3 linked regions of the Coturnix japonica genome follow. The protein of the gene in region 2 purifies or fractionates together with the protein of the main gene of each other region. This does not show direct contact. Links are inferred from orthologs where the notes say so. Each region holds a gene or a part of one and is shown on either strand. Other genes may lie near its edges.

The links.
Region 1: the proteins of RPA1 (region 2) and TIPIN purify together in Homo sapiens (affinity purification with western blotting; 4 studies listed by BioGRID and IntAct, with this or other methods). This does not show direct contact. The link is inferred for Coturnix japonica from reciprocal best matches to the Homo sapiens genes RPA1 and TIPIN.
Region 3: the proteins of RPA1 (region 2) and RFC2 purify together in Homo sapiens (affinity purification with mass spectrometry, with the first as the bait; 3 studies listed by BioGRID). This does not show direct contact. The link is inferred for Coturnix japonica from reciprocal best matches to the Homo sapiens genes RPA1 and RFC2.

The regions. Positions count from the first base shown.
Region 1 is NC_029525.1:16,738,602-16,742,351, forward strand, and holds the start of TIPIN (TIMELESS-interacting protein), read right to left. Parts: upstream 2,351-3,750; 5' UTR 2,235-2,350; intron 1,791-2,234; exon of another isoform or gene 1,638-1,790; intron 1,208-1,637; exon of another isoform or gene 1,154-1,207; intron 970-1,153; 5' UTR 942-969; coding exon 809-941; intron 235-808; coding exon 141-234; intron 1-140. Other genes in the region: MAP2K1 (dual specificity mitogen-activated protein kinase kinase 1), read left to right, coding at 2,633-2,712.
Region 2 is NC_029534.1:4,228,597-4,232,246, forward strand, and holds part of RPA1 (replication protein A 70 kDa DNA-binding subunit), read left to right. Parts: intron 1-843; coding exon 844-976; intron 977-2,015; coding exon 2,016-2,192; intron 2,193-3,438; coding exon 3,439-3,546; intron 3,547-3,650. UniProt on the Homo sapiens protein: As part of the heterotrimeric replication protein A complex (RPA/RP-A), binds and stabilizes single-stranded DNA intermediates that form during DNA replication or upon DNA stress.
Region 3 is NC_029534.1:2,018,150-2,021,899, forward strand, and holds the start of RFC2 (replication factor C subunit 2), read left to right. Parts: upstream 1-1,080; 5' UTR 1,081-1,156; coding exon 1,157-1,278; intron 1,279-1,760; coding exon 1,761-1,830; intron 1,831-2,263; coding exon 2,264-2,305; intron 2,306-2,636; coding exon 2,637-2,743; intron 2,744-2,873; coding exon 2,874-2,975; intron 2,976-3,346; coding exon 3,347-3,447; intron 3,448-3,750.

The sequences.
Region 1 (3,750 bases), on a different chromosome or scaffold from region 2:
ATTAATTACATAACACACCTCGCAGACATCACTGTACTGAGGATTCACTCAAGTGCACTTGAAATCACAGTAACCTTAATTACCACATCACAGCCATGCACCAAGTTTATCAAGGAAAGAAACACTAAGTCCAAAAATACCTGTGAGCATCTAGTTTAGGTATCGATCTTTTAACTGCTTTCCGTGCAGCTGCAGAAGAATCCTTTGTTTCTGACTGCTGGTTTCCATCCAGATCTAACCAAGAAAATCACACACTGTAAGCATACAGCACAAATGGCTCACTCACTTTTTGATTCAGGCTAATACTCATACATTTGACTGCAATGGATACGGCACCACAATCCATCCCAGCAGTAATTACTATCACACTGATTTCTTGTTTAAGACTTTGCCAGTCTAAACATCAGACACCCAGGAGTTAGAACTCTAATTTTCGTACATCAAGAATTACGTACTTCCTGCTCCCTTGTTCCACACACAGAACATTCCATATACAATTGATAGAAAGTAACTTGAACTTTATTTTTTGCTTTCTGTCTTTGTCTTAAGATAGAAAACCAACAACCAAACTCCTACCATCTCCCTGGAATGCTGGCAGTCTTGTGTGCATGCATGCAAACATTCCCATGGCATCTACAAAGGTAAACTCACTGCACAAGTATGGATCAAGAACAACTTAACTGCTTTTTTTACTCTTGGATTATTTTTACTGAGTAAGCACAACACATTGAAGTAGAACTCCAACAAAGCTGATCTCTCAGCATTTCATTCTATACTGAAAAATCTCCAGGGTTCACAGGGTTCTCACCTCCATTAGCTTGAGCCCATTCAACATCAGCTCTTCCTGGAGACGCAGGAGGTGGGAGGGGTGGAAATGTTTCATCTTCTGTATTCTCATAATCAGGGAGATCAAACAAGTTGTTCTCCAGAGGATCTATCATGGCCACAGATTAACTTTTCTTCCTCCTCCTGTGGGAAACAAAGAGCAGATGAGAGAACTGGGATGGGGAACTCCAAAATTCCACAGTGGAGATGTGGTCAGGGGACACAGTGGGGGTGAGTTGGGATTTGGGGGGTCTTGGAAGTCTTTTCCAACCTTAACGAGCCTATGAAATATCAGAAGCATTTAAAAAGAATGCAAAAACCAACAAACCTGCCACAGAAACAAACATCAGCTACGTGAGACCCAGCCCTTCCACAGGAAGCTCTGCCAAACAGCACGTTACATAAATTAAGCAGCAGATACTATGCAGAAGGATGACACAACCCAGTATTGCCGAGCCAAGTAAATTATGGGCTTCTCACACTTGGTTACCTGGGAGTGGTGGCTGTGGGTCGTTGTAAGAACACAAGCACACAACAAAAGCATTTCAGACTAAGTGCTTTTCAAGCCAGCTGTTATCCACACAAACTAACAACTTTAGTCTCCTGAGCTGCGGGTCCCCCAACCTACAGCTTATCCCTTCAACCCACAGGCCAGGGCCGAGGTCTCTCAGGCTCATGACGGCCCCAGCTCCTCACATCCCCGCTCACCAGGCTGAGGGCTGTTGTATCTCTCCACAGCCGGGCTCACACACAGCTCGCCCCGACAGGAGCCCGCCACGACGCCCAGAGCCGCACCCTGAGGCCCCGCTCCCCTCACACCTCCAGCCCTGACGGTTTTCCCCTTCCTACCGCCTTAAGGAGCTTCTCTCCTGCTTTCAGAGCGCTGGGAGCTCCGGACGAAGACACCAAATACCGCTCAAATACCACACAAATACCACACAGCACAACACCGCACAGCACCGCACAGACACCGCCGAGCTGAGGAGGCTCCCCCGGCCGGCCGGGCTAATGCGCATGCGCAGCTGCTGCGCTCCGCCGCTGTTGGCGCCAAGTCCGTTGGGCGGAGCTGCGTGTAGCGCCGGTAACACTGAGCGGGTTGAATTAACACCGGAGTCAGAGGTTCGAATCCCCCCTGTGGCGCGAGTGGTAGAAGTGCCGCTCTGCAGCACAGACGCTCGAATCCCGGGGGTTGGACTCGATGATCTCTGAGGTCCCTTCCAACCCACACGGGACTGTGATACTATGATACACGCGTTTCCCTTCAGCCCGAGTGATTTTACCCGCGTTTAAAACGCGTATTTCTAAATAGATGAGCATCTCTTGCAGTCAGCACCACATAACGTTGTGCTGAGAGCGGTAATCGCTTGATATCCCAAATGTATTTAACAACAAGTCATGGTTTATCTTACTTTGGTCGTACTGTTTCCAAGCTCAGCTCCCGGTGCTGGCACGGCGTCGGTCCGCCTTCCCCTCCCTCACTGCGCATGCTCCCGCTGGCCGCGCTTGCGCTTCCTTGTGGCCGGTGATTGTGCGCATGCGCAGTTCCGGGGCAGGGCGCACTTGGATCCCGTGCAGTTATTTTCCGCCGTGCTGTGCGCGCTCCGCTCTGTGTGGTTCCGCTCGGTTCCGCTCGGTACCGGCTGTGTTAACGGCTGTACCGAGCCGGAGCGGCGGCGTCGTGTCCTCGGCTCCTTGTGGTGGAGGCGGCCTCACGCTCGTTGTGCGCTGAGGGGCGGCCCCGAAGTTTTGCTTCATCTCGGGAAGTCGGTCGGACCTGGCCCAAACGGGGCCGCGACCGGGGGGGAACATGCCCAAAAAGAAGCCGGGTCCGATCCAGCTGAACCCCGCTCCGGATGGATCCGCCGTCAACGGGACCAGCTCTGCAGAGTGAGTGCAGCCCGGGCTGTTCGCTGAGGGGCCGGGCGGGGCCGCTCCAGCACGGGCTGCTGAGGGGCTGCAGCTCCGCCGGGGGCCCGGTTCGGCACAACCCGGTTCCAGCGTTGTACCGGTGGTTCCGGGCCGGGACCCCTCGGGCTGAGCTGCAGCGGGGCGGGTACGTGAGGTGAACCCTGCGCCTGTGTCTGTAATGGGGTCTGTTACGTTGTTAGGTTATATAATTCCACAACGAAGGCCAAATTCTGCGCTTCTAACAGTGTATTTCATAGATGTGTATGGGAGAAATGTCATCAGGAGTCACAGATCTGTAGGGAAAGTGTGGGCTTCTTTTTTCTTTCTTTGGCTTTAAGATAAACCAGCGCTAATCTGAGTCAATCTGTCGGTAATTAGCACGTAAAGCTGGCTATGCCAAGGGGTGTGTTGGGTGAAAACGGCTTTGAGCTTTCCTGGCTGTAGCGTAGGTGAGCGCTGTGTGCTGTCAGAGAGGATGTGGGGTCTGAGGGAGCAGCCGGTGTGTTTTGTGCAGGGGAAGGGGGCAGCGAATGCCGAGTTGTTCCATTTGCTCGCAGTGCTGCTGGGTCTGCGTTACCGTGGGGCCTTAGTTTTGCAGGTGGTGTCAGAGCTGCGTAACATTCGTTACAAAAGGAGTTTCCATCAGGTTGGTAGATCTGTATTCATCACTTAGTTTATAAGCAGAGGTGATGGACTTCCTGGTGACGGAGGTGCGAGCTGTGGGTGTGTGTGTGTAAGGATGGATTCCTTCCCCTGTATGGTTCGCTCCTTGGATACCCGAGCTGCGCTCTGATGTGCTTATGTTCTGCTGTCAGGGAACACAGCGCAGAATTGCAGCGAGATGTGCACGTCTCAAGCTGAAAGTGTTCCACGTGTGCTGCTGTTGTTGCCACATTTTCAAGCAGGCTCAGATCTCACTCATCCACCTGATGGTCACAGAATACACTCAGTATCTTGCAGCTCCAGCTGTGGCACTTCTAGCGAAGTCTTTTGATGGTGAGCTGAAGGATGAGCTCT
Region 2 (3,650 bases):
TCAGGAAAACCAAGTGACTTCTTAGTGCTTCACTGCTGCTTCTAGCGTAGGTAGTTGCTAAATTATCTGCTGTAGCTACTAAGACAGTGAGATTTGGTGTGTGTGCTAATGGGGTAAAGTCCCTACTGCATCACTTATTGTGAATCCTGGGCTCACATTCTGCCCAAATCCTTTAAACGTGCATAAAATATTTGTCGGCGTTCTCCATTATTCAGATTGAGCAGAGCTGCTTCTATACTTCAGAGGGTTGTTGAAGATGAAATTGATTGTGGGTCTTAGCTAGTGCTGTCACATTTTAATTACATTCCGTTTTTGAGTTCTGTTGGTGTTTCTCACATCACAAAAGACGCTGAATGGGATGATAGTACAACCTTTTTCAGAAAAGGAGTGCTTTCTTATTTTAACACAGGAGGCATAATTTGTTCAATGCTATTTGCTTTTCCTTTTGAAGCTGCTGCAATGATAATGGTAGCGTGTAATTTAATTTTAATTATGGAAATATCTTGATGCCCTTAAATCTTGTTATCTGACTGCCTTTAAGAAGCATGCAGTGCGTGGTTTGACCACTAGCTGGCAAACAAATTGCAGTTATATAGAACAAAGCTGCCCTCCTTTTGTGGGTTTATAAAATACTATGCTAATTAAGTCAGAGTATTAACTTATTCTGAAATGCTATTTTTGTTTGCAGTATACACAAATTACTGTAATTGTTTCCTTTGCAATCATTGATTTTTAAGGAAAGAAAAAAAAAATCCTTCGTGTATTAAGTACATGAAACTAAACGTAAGCTTATGATAAGGTGGACTGCCATCCAAAAATAGCAATGCATCTTTGTGGTTCCAGGTTTGACTCTGAGGGACAGCTTCTGGAATGTGCCTCCATCTCTGATGTGAGAGGTGGGTCAGCGTCAGGGGTAGCTACCAACTGGAAAACCTTGTTTGAAGCCAAATCAGAGAGGTTGGGACAAGGAGATAAGGTAAGGCATGGCAGCTGACTGCAAGCCTTGTGTGTTTGAGGGGGGCGGGAAGGAAACCTTGGTGTTCTGCTTATTGGGAGAGTCCAGTTGTTGGGCTGTGTGCTTATTCTGTAAACAAGAAAAACCAAACAAACCAATGCACTGAATCCAAGTCCTTTGCTGATGTTGCAACATGATCCTATGTGTACGAGAGATTTCTAAGTCTTGGATAAATAGTGCCAAATAGACCACCCCAAAGATGCTAATATAAATAACACAAAGTGTTGTAGGGCAAACAGGTGCGTTTCTAGGAAGGGTTTTCAAGGCAGCCTTGCTCAATAGAAAATCTAGACCCAGGTCTGCAGTTTTCTAGCCTGGTAGCCTTCTTAGGCTTGAAATGCTTCTTGACTTGTTCCAATACGTTTTTAAAAGCATATAATTGTGGTTTTTTTCCAAAATGTTAGCACTAAGCCATTCAGGATAGAGAAAAACTTTGATCTAGATAAAGAACTTCCACAGGAAACAGCTGAATTACCAGTGCCTTTCTTGCATGTGGTTCTTAACCCCTGTTCATCTGCTGAAAGACTTGACTGTGGTCTTAAACCATTAGGGTGATGATTTTAGTGTGGTGAGTGGGTATTTTGTTCTGTGGGCTATAGTTTAATCAAACACTTATCTGTAATACTACACAGTAGGCTTTCTGGTTTTTGTACTGACTCCTAAAAGAAGCATAGGAAAGTGCAGAATCTTAATCTTGTGAAAAAAGCAGAGATTTGAACAGACACAATGGAGAAACAAATGTGCTTTATCTGAAGAAAACCTAGCAATCGGAGTTCCCTGCAATGGAAACACAGAATAATCTTGCTCTAGGGGCTTTATTTAACATAATGGAAGCCTGGAAATGATTGCGACAGGGGTTGATTTACAGTTTTCCAATAATCCATAGCTGTTAAGCTTTCTAATCCTAAATATCCAAGTATGGACGCCTTGCTTTGTAGTTAATTCAGAATTGGAAAACACTGAGTATTTTGAGGCTAATGTTGCACACTCACTCTCCTAGGCGGATTATTTTAGCTGTGTGGGCACAATAGTACATCTGCGGAAAGAGAACTGCATGTACCAGGCCTGTCCCTCTCAGGATTGCAATAAGAAAGTGATAGACCAACAGAATGGACTGTATCGTTGCGAGAAGTGCGATCGTGAATTCCCCAACTTCAAGTACCGCTTGATGCTGCTGGTAAGTGAGCTGATGAGGGCAGGCAGGGCTTCTCCCTGCTCTCCCTGGGCAGTGCAGATAGAAGTCTTTTGATGGAACAGGGTGTTAGGCTGCTGTGTTCTCCAGAGGTGCCTGTGGGTTAGAGGGTATTGAGGTGACTCGTGTCTGTACCTGGGTGAGGAATGTTTCATTGAGCTGATAAGCAGTTTGTTTTCCTAGCTCTCCAATTAAAAGCTTTTCTCTTTGCCAAAAAGTTGATGCTAGCTCAGTTGATTCTGGTTTCCAAGTGTACTATGCAGTGCAGAGTACAGATGGCCTACGCCTCTTCAGTAGTGAAGATAAACTGAAGTAAAATGGCATTTCTGGAGAGCAGTAATTGCACTTTTACAGCTGCTACCTATATTTAGTACATTTTCTTTTGTAGGTATTGTTCTGTCTCAAGCTTTAATGGAGCTTGCTTCGAAAGGCAGTGAGGATTATTATTGTGATGCCTGCTTACCCCATAAGCATTGAACCTTCTTCTGTTTTTACACTGTACATTTGTGTTGTATCTGCTTCTTAGAAATGCTGTGCCAGGTGGGCATGCAGAGAGAACTATCCCTGCAGTCTCACTAAAACACAAACTGCTTCTGAATAATTTCTAGCAGATAACTTCTAGGAATACACAAACTACTTAATGTAGCAGAGTCACTCTCCTAGAATATAAAAGGGATACTGAGGTTACAATCAAGGCCTTCGGAACAGTTTGTCTCCTATTTTTGCATTCCTAATTGTCAAAGCAGCCTCACAGATGAGGCTGGTACTTGATCTGTTTATTGCTCTGTCTTGTCCTTGAACGTTTTGATAGTTGTCTCGTAACGTAGCATCACATGTATTTATGCCCGAGTTCTAAATAAATGCAGGTCTCAATCTTGCTGGTGTCACCCTTGGTTGTTACTGTTCTGGGCTACCTGTTCATACTCATAGCTCATCAATGATAGAGGAAAAGGAGCTGAATGTCTATCGGTGCTTATTGCAGTGATCTTGTTGGCCTCTTCTTGTGACACAACATGCTGACAATATTAACGTGCTTTAAACAACTCTGACATTCTGTTGAGCTCTTTTGAAAAGCAAAATAATAAGTAATTGTCTTCCACCCTCAGTGATGGGAAGTGCACAGGGTTCTTGAGCTGTGAAACAAATACTACTTTTATCTGTTGCTCATAGAAGTCAGTGCAACTGGATGGAATTTCTTGTTCCTTGTTTTTATTATTGTTGTATTTTTTAGGTGACCATTGCAGACTCTCTAGATTACCAGTGGGTGACTTGTTTCCAGGAGTCAGCAGAATTCATTCTTGGGCAAAGCGCTACTTTCCTGGGAGAGCTGAAGGAAAAGGTCAGTCATTTACCTTATTACATTCGTAGTAAATGCTGAGAAGTGGGTCTGTGTTTTACACACCTTGCTGTTGAACAGACCTCTGAGATCCTCCTGGTAAGGAA
Region 3 (3,750 bases), about 2.2 Mb from region 2:
ACTGCTTTGCTTGCCACCAGCCATAGCATGCAAAACAGCAATTCTTTACCACAACTTCTGCATTTTATCAACTCCCTGACAAAAAACTCTTGCACTGAGATTTGGTTTCCCTGCAGGGATTAGAGTACAAGTTCCTGACTGCAGATGAGATGAGGAGATGCAACTCAGTTTATCCTGGATGTATCCTGTGATCTCAGGGTTTCAGTACCAACGGTTCACAATCTGGGACAGGTGGTCGTCAAAGCTTTCAGCTGAGGTATGTCTATCCATATACTGTACTAATATAATCATAATGATAATAAATACCTGTGCTATAAGCCACAGAATCACTGAGGATACATAAGGAGTCACTGCCAACGCAGACAGTGCAGTGCTTTGGAAGGCTGCTCTGCATAGAAACACATCACAAAATCTGTCATCGAGCACTCTGCACCAGTTCTCACAAATAGCCTTTCAACCAGCCCTTTGGGCGCTTATCAGCAGTAACCCTGCACGTATAGTGGGAGAATTAACACTGGCCAGGAAAATTATATCTTATCCAGTGGCTGGTACTTCCTAAGAGCATAACAACTGTTTAATTTGGCAAGAAATCAAAGCATGACTCGTGTGCTGTACTGACAGGCTTTTACAACCAGTAGTGCTCTATGCAGCTGCAACATTATACTGCCTCACCTTGGCTCCTGCTGAACACTGCAGTTAAATCTAAAGGAAAAGAGCAACGTAGTGAGCCTGAACTTTACACAGCGATGGATTCATGCGGTATTTGTGTTACAAACAGTCTGAAAGTGGTAGAAGTGCCGCTCTGCTACACAGGAGGCTCGAATCCCAGGGGTTGGACTCGATGATCTCTAAGGTCCCTTCCAACTCGCACAAGACTGTGATACTGTGTGTGAAAGCTGTGGAAATAAAGACAATAACCCTGTCTCACCGTATCACATAATTACGACTTTATTTCCTTTCCTGCTTTAAGGAAGATGGGGTTAATCCATAGTTATCTCAAGCAGCCGTGTAAAACCTGCTGACCACACAAATCCACCCTCAAACCCGAACAGGCCCCACCTCCGGCCTACACCCCCCGCCCCTTGAGGCGGGCCTACAGCGCGACCGCCCCTCCAGGAGGCGGTGGGAAAACGAGGCCTATCCTGCAGCCGCCGCAATGGAGGAGGAAGTGGAGATCGTGGAGGACGACAAGGCCGGACCTGCGGCTGCTGAGAAGCGGGGACCCACCGACACGCTGGGGTCCGCTCCTACCGCCAGCAGCCATTACGAGATGCCCTGGTGAGAGCCGAGAAGCGAACCGCTCCGTCTGCACACAACGCGGGCCGGCCGCGCTGTGCTGAGGGACATGGATCCGGGGGCGGGAATAAAGGACGAGCTGTGCGGCTATTGGTGGGGAACGCGATTGGGGGGCGGGGCTTAGCGTGGATTGGCCTATGGCGTGAGAGAGGGGGCGGGGCGTGCCGTTGGCGGGAAGGTGGGTATGTAACCTCAGGCTGTGCAGGGTTCCACCATTTCCTTCTATATAACAGCGACAATAAAATAACTTTAAGACCATTAATAAACAACAACAATAAAATAAATAAGACCATTAGAGCTGCTATTGGCAACCCCGCAGTGTTTACATTAAGGACATCTCATGTTATTTTTGTCCCATGTTGTCTTAATGCTCCATATAATCTCCTTTTCCAGCAGTGTAAGGCACTATTAAAGTTTAAACTAAGATGTTTAAACATCTTAGTGTTTGGGTTTTATTTCCACAGGGTGGAAAAATACAGACCCCTGAAACTATGTGAAGTAGTTGGAAATGAAGATACAGTCAGCAGGCTGGAGGTGTGTGGCTGCTTGTTTGTTCATGGGTGAGATAAGAGATGCCATTTTGCATCCACATCCAGAGCAGAAACAGCAATTCTGCATTTCCACATCAGTCTCTGGATATTTGGACAAGAAACTAACTGATTTCCTTCAAAAATTACAAGTTTTGGGACAAATTTGATCAGTATTCGAAATAAATGCGCCTTCTATACTTGGGGTGCTGTGCAAATTGGACCCAGCTTAAATACAACGCAAAAAGGCTGTAATTTGTAGTAATTTTGGGACTTGTTAACTGGAAAAATGCATGAAAGCAGCAAGATTAAGAAAAAAGAAAGGAAAGCAGGAGGGAAAAAATGGCATCTCTTTCTCGAGGTCAAAATGGAATAGAACTGCAAACTTTGTTCCCACCATTTTCTTACCTACTTGTCTTGTTGCTCTTATTCTTTCTTAGGTCTTTGCAAAAGAAGGGAATGTCCCAAATATTATCATTGCGGTGAGTATTGCTGTGGCATTTCGCTGTGTTAATCCCAGTCCAGAGACCCAGGCATGACCAGGATAGATTTGTACTGTGGTACCACTGAAGGAGATGTTATGTTTACAGGGCAGTATATTCAGCTAAAGGCACAGCAAGTAAACAACCTTCTGTTACTGAAATACTGCAAACTAATTTGGCCCTTGGGTGCCTATTGAAGCATATCTAGTGCTTTATTGCTGCTGGAGCAGGATCCTGAGCTCAGGTCACTTGTATTTTACATGAGTGGGGATTGTTGTAGAGAGTGCAGGTTAGGAAATGGCATTGCACTCATGAGCAATTGTATTTCCAGGGTCCACCTGGAACAGGAAAAACCACCAGCATCCTCTGCTTGGCTCGTGCTCTGCTTGGCCCTGCGTTAAAAGATGCTGTTTTGGAGCTGAATGCCTCAAATGACAGGTGAGAAGGAATAAGCCTTATCAAGCTTAATGAAGAAGCAAGTATCCATTGTTATTTTGTGGCTGCTGAATGAAAGCCTTTATGGAATTTCACCCTAACTGATCATTAATGACTTCAATTATTATTCCAGAGGCATCGATGTTGTGAGGAACAAAATCAAAATGTTTGCTCAGCAGAAGGTCACACTTCCAAAAGGTCGGCACAAAATCATCATCCTCGATGAAGCAGACAGGTACATTGCTTTTTTTTCTTGACCCCAGCTGCTTTGTGCAATGTTTTCTATCTATTCTGCTGTCTTGGACAGTATGAGATGACTCTTTTCCTCCTGCATATAAATAGCAGCATTCTTAACAGTACTCTTAATACCACTGGTGATTTGATTTTATATGTTAACTTTATGGATGACTCAATAACTGGCTCTACTATGAAGTGATTGGTTCATGTGCCGGCTAAAATATGAGGCTTGCCAATCAGAAATACCAGGTAATTTACAAAGCACTGTTCAATATCAGTAAACTCTAAAGCTTGTATACAAATAGTCACTAAGCTGCAGCTTTAAGTCAGTGATGGATAAAATCTGTCCTAACTCCTTTTCTTTCTCAGCATGACAGATGGAGCCCAGCAAGCTTTGAGAAGAACAATGGAAATCTATTCCAAAACAACACGCTTCGCACTCGCATGCAATGCCTCTGATAAAATCATAGGTAAAGCTCTGTTAGACCTTGGGTGTTCTGGTCATATGCTCCCCATGCTGCTGGGTAACCTCCAAAGCAGAAACACTTGGAGCCTGCTCATTGCAAGAAGCCATGGTAATTAAGAAGAACCAAACCACCCAAACATCCAGCTAATGAAGAGCACGTTTGCACAGCTGATGAACCTCCTGAACAGCTGTTTTTCATGAAAAGTTCTATGCATGACTGCAGAGCAGATTTCTTCAGGCTTAATCACCATCCAGCTCTGCTACAGCTTACGATTTGTGGTGCATTGTTAACTGGATGTTGAACCCC